Nothobranchius furzeri: one gene and its partner. The protein of the gene in region 1 purifies or fractionates together with the protein of each later gene. This does not show direct contact. Links are inferred from orthologs where the notes say so. Each region holds a gene or a part of one and is shown in the gene's direction. Other genes may lie near its edges. The genes, in order: orc5 and lrwd1.

Evidence for each region.
Region 2: the proteins of orc5 (region 1) and lrwd1 purify together in Homo sapiens (affinity purification with mass spectrometry; 4 studies listed by BioGRID and IntAct, with this or other methods). This does not show direct contact. The link is inferred for Nothobranchius furzeri from reciprocal best matches to the Homo sapiens genes ORC5 and LRWD1.

What each region holds. Positions count from the first base shown.
Region 1 is NC_091741.1:42,935,945-42,940,212, forward strand, and holds the start of orc5 (origin recognition complex subunit 5), read left to right. Parts: upstream 1-1,452; 5' UTR 1,453-1,589; coding exon 1,590-1,703; intron 1,704-2,377; coding exon 2,378-2,470; intron 2,471-3,670; coding exon 3,671-3,856; intron 3,857-4,065; coding exon 4,066-4,140; intron 4,141-4,268. Other genes in the region: lhfpl3 (LHFPL tetraspan subfamily member 3 protein), read right to left, coding at 1-304. UniProt on the Homo sapiens protein: Component of the origin recognition complex (ORC) that binds origins of replication. DNA-binding is ATP-dependent. The specific DNA sequences that define origins of replication have not been identified yet.
Region 2 is NC_091750.1:30,550,493-30,554,780, reverse strand, and holds the start of lrwd1 (leucine-rich repeat and WD repeat-containing protein 1), read left to right. Parts: upstream 1-1,383; 5' UTR 1,384-1,455; intron 1,456-1,851; 5' UTR 1,852-1,863; coding exon 1,864-1,967; intron 1,968-2,126; coding exon 2,127-2,361; intron 2,362-2,834; coding exon 2,835-2,954; intron 2,955-3,140; coding exon 3,141-3,287; intron 3,288-3,380; coding exon 3,381-3,473; intron 3,474-3,614; coding exon 3,615-3,953; intron 3,954-4,107; coding exon 4,108-4,225; intron 4,226-4,288. Other genes in the region: alkbh4 (alpha-ketoglutarate-dependent dioxygenase alkB homolog 4), read right to left, coding at 1-431, 514-702, 993-1,157. UniProt on the Homo sapiens protein: Required for G1/S transition. Recruits and stabilizes the origin recognition complex (ORC) onto chromatin during G1 to establish pre-replication complex (preRC) and to heterochromatic sites in post-replicated cells.

The sequences.
Region 1 (4,268 bases):
ACGCACCGGAGGGGATGCTGCTGAACTCGGCGAAGCTGCCCTGACAGGTCAAGTCCCGGGACAGTCCATTTCCGATGCAGTAGTGGAACAGACCGAAGTAGCCCACCTGCGGGGTGTCCGCACCGTCTCCGATCCAGTAGGGCTGGATGAAGCACACCACGTTAACGATGGCGAAAAGGATGGTGAAGATGGCCCACAGGACGCCGATGGCCCTGGAGTTCCGGACGTAGTTGGTTTGGTAGATTTTGGCAGCCTCGGAGGCAGGGAGCATGGTGGTGGTCGCGCTGGGAGCCCCGGGGACCATTTCCTCTGGTCTGTGTGGGGAGGATGCGGATCAAAGTGGCACCTGCCTCATCTGGTAATCAGCAGAACTTCCTCTGGTTCGGTTGTGTTTTCTTTCCTTACACTCGTGTCCACAGCATCAGCTGCACTGTATAGAGGCAAGGCCGGGTCCTGATTTCTGTTCTGGAGCTCCGATTTTCATTCATCAGCCTGCAGAATCGAAACGTGGCTCTGGGAAAATACGAGCGCCGGTAATCCATTTGCAGATTCATTCTCCATTTGCGCGCATATGTAGTGGAATGCAGTCCGCTTCTTATCAGGGGATGTGTGAGATCTCCCTGCACGGATCCGTCTGAGGAGCACAACCGCAGATGTCCGTGTATAGTACAGGGCCAACCCACATCCCTTAATCCCATTCTGACGTTGCTCGCGCGAAATTTCAAACACAAAGATTTAAAATGAAAAATGTACAGAAAATATGGTAACATGACTTCAGTGGCAATGAATTAGAGATTTTGCATGACTAAAAATTACTTATTTTTACTACTAAAACGAACAAAGATAAAAACACAAAGCGATCAGTGATCATTATGATTTTTCGGAATGTTTTCATTTTTAATCATCAAATCTTAATTCATGCAAATTAGTAATTTTACCAAATGAACTGATTTTTTTGCTATCTAGACTGACAAACAATCAAATATTTAAATTTAAGAACTAGACAGAGTTTGTTATTTCAACCAATATAAAACAGTGACGTATTAAAATGTTCGTTACAAAAGTAGTAGATTAAGTCAATGCTATTATTTCTGGATCATATTGTAGATAAATCCCTATATTACTAAAATACTAACCTAAAATCACCACATCAAATCCAAAATATGCTATTTAAATTGTGTTTAACCTTTAAACTACATTTCCCAGAGTTCTGAGCTCTATTTTCATTGGGTAACAGAGGATCACGTTTCTACGCAATTCGAAGGCGCGCGAGAAAATGCAGCTAACGTTTTATCCAGTTCTCTTAAGAGAAAATGCATTTTCTCATCATTTAAAGTTGCTTACTTGGTTTCTTTCAGGGTGTTAGTTTACCCCCAACTTGTTCTATCGGTACTTTCCCGACGTTAATTCTCTTTTTGGCACTTTTTCCTCCCAAATTACCGCCTGTGTTCGTCTTTTCCGCCTCGTGTCGGTGGACTTTCAGTTACAAAAAGCCGAGTTTTATGCTAACTGTCACGGTTTTAGACAGATTATTCTAAGCCTCGTGACGATTAAACCGTGCGGGCATATTTGGGAGTTGGACGGTAAGGATGACGGGGCTGTTACAGCAACCAGGATACGACGAAGAAAGGCTAAAAAGAGTCTCAGAGCTGCTGCCTTGTAGAGAAGTCCAGGCTGGGATGCTGCTGTCTCTCATGGGACAGGTAGGAACTATAATGGTGGTTTAAAAGAATCGTTGGCTTGGTCTCCATTCTCACTGTCAGCGTTTGATTGTGTTTTCTCTGTCAGGTAAACTGGAGTTTCACGTCTGTAAACCTTTGTTTCGCAGGCACATTACAGCTTGCCGAAGATGCTCATCAAATCTTTTTGTGTTAGTGCAATGCAAGTTGTATAATCTTGATGGTGTCATTTGGCTGTTTGAGCACAACGGGCTGTCCTCAGTAGAGCTTTTTCAATTTATTGCATGATTTTTCTTTGCAGTACATATTTACACATTTTTATAATATAAGTTTGCTTGAGAAAATACAATGGTACCCAGAAACCTTCATATGTTTACAGACATCTAAACCTAAATAAAAGCTGCATCAAGATGACATAATTCCCTAATGTAAATTATGTTTGGGCAACTGCAGCAAAATATATTTTGGTGTAATTCTAAAGTTATACGAGAATCTAAAAAAATATCTAAAAAATATGAAGCTGTGGGATAATCAAGAGCCAGCAGTAGCTTATTTTTTTTTTTTTTTTTTTGTGACAAAGCTATTGTTACAAGCTTCTAATGTTGTGAGTAGATGATGACATTTTAATCCTTGGGAAATTTATACATTAAAATGCAAAAAAATATTGATACAAAAATGCTATTTTTATGCTCTTCCAGCCACAGCAGTACTGCTACCCTTCAGTCTTCATCTATGGCCATCGGTCCTCAGGAAAAAGTCACGTGACAAATATTTTGATGGAAGAGTTGGAGGTGAGAGATACTTATTGTCTATGGGTGCCTTTCCAAAAAAAAATTCATTAAATGGCAAATTTCTATGCTTGTCCCTCATTTCAGAAATTGATACCCATTTATTTATTACACAGACTAAAATAGTTTATTCCTTGTAATTAGGAATATTAAAGGTTACAGATAAGAAAAACCCCAAATTCATGCTCCATAAAATAAGAACATTATGAAGGGGTGAAGGTGGCTTAGGGGTTAGGAGTTCACTCTGTAACTGGTGGTTTACTGGTTCAATCCCAGGCTGTGTTGAGTTGGCCATTGTGTCAGACTGTCAGTGGTTGGAGGGACCTGTGGCACCTGTGTAAGGGAGCCTCGCCTCCGTCAAAATGCCCCAGTTTAGCTGTGGTTACAGTGTAGCTCATCAGTGTGTGAATGACTGTAGGTTGAAGCACTTTGGAGTCCTCTAACTCAGAAAGGCGCTAATAAACAAATGCAGGCCATTCATCACTTTGACATGATCTGTATTACATCATCATGAGAATGACAAGAAATAACCGCTTGAAATAGTTTATTTTACATTTAACAAGTCTATTAGCTTTACTTCATGAAATGTGGGCTGATTATAAAATCCAGAGTTTGAGCACAATAAGTCGCCTTTCTGGAAAAAAAAGATGGTTGAAGGACAAGTGATGAACATGTGGGCTTGTTTTATTTCAGAGTTGGATCCTTACTCTTTCAGCTTGTGTAAACCTTTAAACAGACCACTGCAGAGTACTATTACAATAACAAAATATCTAGAAGCAAACAAAGCCTTTTAAATCGTGTAGAATATTAAAATTTGTAGTTTATGGATGGCTACTTTCTTGCCAGTGGTTTTTATATGGGTTTTATTATAAAGAACTCAAAGTAGTTTGTGTTTCTTCTACAAACGTTCACATAAAAGTGGTGGCTACAAAAAGTGTACATCAGGGCCTTCTTTTGTCCAGAAAAGACCCGAATCACAAATACATTCATTCAAGGTTTTTATATAAAGGCCCCAGCATACTTTTTATTTATTTAATTTGTATTTCTTTCATCAAATGTTAGAATAAAATAGACTTTATTAATCACACAGTGGGGAAATTTATTACTTTTTAAATCGGATTAAAAATTAACACAGAGTGGAGTTTTTATGTTCACCCATCTTATGACTTTTTGACCTTCACCATTGCTCCTTCTCCTCCTCAGCTTCCTCACGCCACGGTCAGCTGCGTCGAATGTGTGTCTGTTGCGTTGCTGTTTGAACAAGTGCTACTGTCCTTCTTTGGCTGCGATGCTGCCTCGCTGCTCCCTCGTAGTCCCTCCTTGTCTGACTTTGTGCGGATCTACAGGCAACAATCCTCCCAGTTTCCTGCTGAGCAGACGCGATACATCGTGAGTGACACATCTGTGTTATTTATGATGCCATCTGTTGTAATGCAAGTGGTAAACAAAGCTCCAGATGTATTGACCTGACGTTTCTGTGCCAGAAACAGTGTTAATTTGATGTAGAATTTGGACTGAAAGTGTTTTTCATTTAAACACCTTTTATTTAGTGAGTGTAAATGTTGTAAACCGAAAGTAAACACGTGGATATGTTTCAGATTATGGAGAAGCCTGAACTTCTAAGAGACGCCGATGCCAATCTTCTTCCTGCCCTCCTTCGTCTTCAGGAACTGGTGAGAAAACACAGCTCGCTCTTTGTGGTGTTTATCACCCAAAACGCTTTGTTGTTGATAAACTGCGCCGATGATGAAGAGTTTTATTAGTGAGGAAATGTCCTTGAGCTGCTGTTTGTAGAGAGCTC
Region 2 (4,288 bases), on another chromosome or scaffold:
AGCTCTCTGTATGTGCTGCAGACCCTGCGTTCATGAATATCCTTCCTATGAATTGCATGTTTCCACCTATGCCTCGCCTCGCCGTATAACACAACTAAACACCTGCGAGGAAGTCGTACAGCAACCTGGACTTCCTCTGAAAGTCCCAACTCTGGCAGACCCTGCTCAAGAGACATGGTGAGCACAGTTTCTGATAACATGTTGATGGTGACCAGCCGCTCCCCCCACAACCAGGAGTCATCCAGGTGCGGATCAATGGCTGAGCCTCTCTCCGGAGCGTAATCCAGATTGCACTGCTCCACTGGTTGAAAGCCCGCAAGATTTGCATCTTGCTGCATCCGCAGCACCAGTTTTTGGCTTAAAGCAGGAAGTCCAGTAAAGTCTGCGATGCGCACTTTTCTCTTCTTGAAGTTTACTTTAGGGCCAAAGTCCTGCAACCGTGTAAAATGAAAAATTTGAATGTTAAAAATATGTAACCCACAAAAAAGTACATTTTCATTAAATGTTTTCCACCTGTTTCCTTCGGCCAGACTGTGAGGGATGCCACACATCCTGGTCCATTACGCTAATCAGCTCCCTCTCCTCCTCCTCTGATATAAAGTTCTCCCACAGGAAGACTCCAGAAAAAGGGAAGGAAGAGCCCTCTTCATCTTCGCTGACAGCGAGCCCCGTCTTGGCATTATAGAGGAAATGATGCACAATCTTCATACCAAAAACAGAGATAACATTAATAAACAAAAGCTGTGATGACATGTTTTAATTATAAAATTTCATTTCACAATAAGTAAAGATACATGCCGTCAACATTTAAATAAACCAGGGTTGTATCTCATTATTTAAATCAAATTTACAACATTGTACCAGAATATTGTCAGAACAAACAAGAGTGATTTTTGATAAACAACACAATTTGTCCAGTGAGGGCTTCCGTACCAAGGTTTACAGACGTTACATCGCACATTAAAACTGAGATTTTTGTTCGACACACGTACCTTTGACTCTCTTGTTTCAAGCAGTACACTCGCCTTAAACGTTTCACAGACAAGACAGCGTCGGATGCCTTTACAAGCGCATGGAATAACCCCGTCGCCGTCGTCAGAGACCATCATCATCATGTTGCATCTTCTTCTACTTGGAAATCGTAGCTCCACTGCCATCTAGCGGACGGAGCCGCAGGCGTAAAATTACTTCTTTTAACCCCTATTTTCGTTCTGCCGCACTGTTATTGGCGCATTAAAATTTCAAATAAAACAAAATATGACAATACTTAGTAATATATGTGATAAACAAGAAATATAATAATCGAAAGTCGTATTTGTTTGACTTGTCTTACAGCCAATGTTCAGGGTAAACTGTGGCCAAAGTTTTAGGTAAACCACGCCCACCGGATGTAGACGGAGTTTCCCCGGGAAAGGTCAGTTGTGTTGCAGACACAAAAGTTGCAGAGAGGAGTTGGTAAGTAACATAAAAAATACTTTATTAAACATTATTAAAGGTGTTTGCTCATTTGTTATGGCTAGAAAAAGAGTCAGTTATATTACTAACTACTAACCTAGCAAAGAGTTGATTAATCGATCGTGTCAACGTGGTTATGCTAGCTACTGCTAAAGTAAAACCAATCGAAATCAAACTAACAGATTCAGTTTTACCTTGCTGAAGCATGAAGTTGATTTGGTTATATTAAATTTTTCTCAGTAAAGATGTCACTTGGCAATGGCATCGTCTCTTTACTAAATGAAAAAATGCTAAATATTTAGCTCGTTTTAAGTACAGACATTATTTAAACTTATCAGGCCATACAACTTAATCAGTGAGTGCGAATAAAAGTTTAACATGTTATTTTGCTGATAGATTCCACATTAGATGTCCTTTTCCAGCAGATCAGCTATGGAGAATGTAACAGAGAAGCTTTTACTGGAGAAAGGTTCTCCAAAAACCAACAAACTGGAGCAAATCAAAACTCTGAAGTAAGTCTTCCCCCTTGATTAACTATTTGTGTGTTCTGGTGAAGTCACTCTTTTATCAGTTGATGACTAATCGCATTTAATAGTAAAATTAGTTTTACTTGCAGATATGAAGCTTGATCTAAAATCCCCATGTTGACTTGACGGGTTTCTTCTATTTAGTCTGTCTAAGATGGCGCTGAAGCACGGGGATCTTCCTGTGAAGCTGCTATCCCGCCTGCAGTCCCTGGAGCGGTGGGATCTATCCGGGAACAGGCTGCAGGAGCTTCCAAAGAACCTGAAGCTACCTGCACTTCGGTACCTGGACCTCACCAACAACCAGATGGAGGATGTCACCACCTTAGAGTCTCTGAGCAGCTTGGAGGAACTAAAAATGGATGACAACTTTTACATCACAGTGAGGACTTGGCTGTTTTTGTCGCATGTAATCCAGTACCGTTCCGTCTCTGTTATAACATAAAGGACGGAGCTGCCTTTTTAAAATTCAAACTATTCGATTGGTCTTATTTAAATGAGTGGTTTAAGTATAATTTCTGTCTTTGAATTCATCTCAGAACTTTACAGAATCGTAAAACGTTACCGTGGCATCTTTTGGAGTCTGGTTGTTACATGTGATGCAGTTTTTCCACCCATGACTATTTTACCGCGACAATATCCACATGAGGTGAAAAAAACAAACCAAAAGGAAGTTTTCCTCTAACGCTGTCATCAGATAACTACTTCAACAAGTCTAGATGTTTTATTAGCACGTCTTTTTGTTCTCTGCAGCGCTGCAGCTTTTCCTTTTTGTTAGATATTCCTTTATTTTTGTCTCAAACTTTAAAATTCTCTTTTACAACTGAGATCAAGTCCTGACTCTGTTATTTTTAGATAAGTGATAGTTACAAGCTGATGGTGTTGCTGCCCAAACTGAGGATTTACAACAACAAAGATGTCAGCACCACTGCCAGCCACTTACGATACGTGTTCAGTGACAACCTGAGGACCAGGGTATGAAAACCGTTTAATACTTTCGTTTGAAAACATTCATGATGATTATTCATTAGACTTTGAGTTAAGCTGTGGCTCTCGATTGCATCACACCTCTAATGTTGCATTTTAAAAGGAAACGACCCAGCTGCTGCACTTTCTCATCATATCCCACACTTGGGTCACTCAGCTGCTGCTTGATTTCAGATAGTCACAGTTTGGGAGCGGAGCTTCAGTCTCCCAGATCCCATCACGGCCGGCAAAATGTCCGATCTGGAGAAGAACTTTGTGAACGCTGCTCGTCATCAAGTCAAATTTGGTCCCAGTTCAGTCAGCGATTTCACCAAATGGAGGGCAAGTCCTGAATTTACAAGGATCTCTGGGACTTTTTTGCTAATTTTCATCCCTTTTTAACAGTTTTGTTTTTACTTCCTTTTGATTTTTCAGGTGGAGATTCTTGCTAAAGAGCATCTGCGCTCACTGACACAACCAAAAGAAGACTTCATCCCCAAGGAGTCTGCTGAGGCCACAAAGAACTGTGTAAGATTGCTAATCAGCACCTTTTATTTAAACTTCACTGTTACAATACTGTCATTGGCACAAATGGCGTCTCTAAATAAAACTTCTTGCTGTTTCTGTTCAAACTGGGTCAAACATTTTACTCTATCTTCCTTTTCTCAGATAATTTCCTCGCCTTCCAAGAGGAAACGAACCAAACTGGTGACAGATGATAAAGTAATTTTGACGCCTCACAAGAAGTTGAGAGTCAACGCTCTAGAATCTTCAGCTGCTGAAGACAGCCCTCGCAAGTCCCGCAGGGTCTCTCTCCGGACAGACGGGGCTGTCTCCACTCCCACCAGAGGACAGGCGAGGACAGAGACGCCCAGGAAGAGGTCTAAATCACAGCAACTCGAAGAGGAAGAAGTTCGGGTTGAACAGAAAAAAGAAGTCAGCAAAACCAAACAGCTGCACAGGAGTCAGTACACTCTGCCTATAATAAAGATTTGTACTAAGAGTCAGGTAAAGAAACACACAGATGACTCCTTTAGATGCTGTAGAACCACAAAAACATTCCAGTGTCGTCGTTTATTCCGTACAAGACACAATCTTGTCAGACAACAACCCACAGGGGTTTGTGTTCGTTCTCATCCGTCTCTTGTGTGTGATCCTCCAGCAGCCGGTGCATCTGAAGCCTCTCCACGTGCTCCAGTGTCACAGTAAACAGGACAGCTCCGGGGACTTCTCCACGCAGCTGTGGGCCTGCGCTTTCCAGCCTCTGTCAGGCTCCTCTGGTACTGATGAACCCCTCTGATCCACTCAGATTTATCAGAACAAGTCCTCCGTGGTTTACAGCA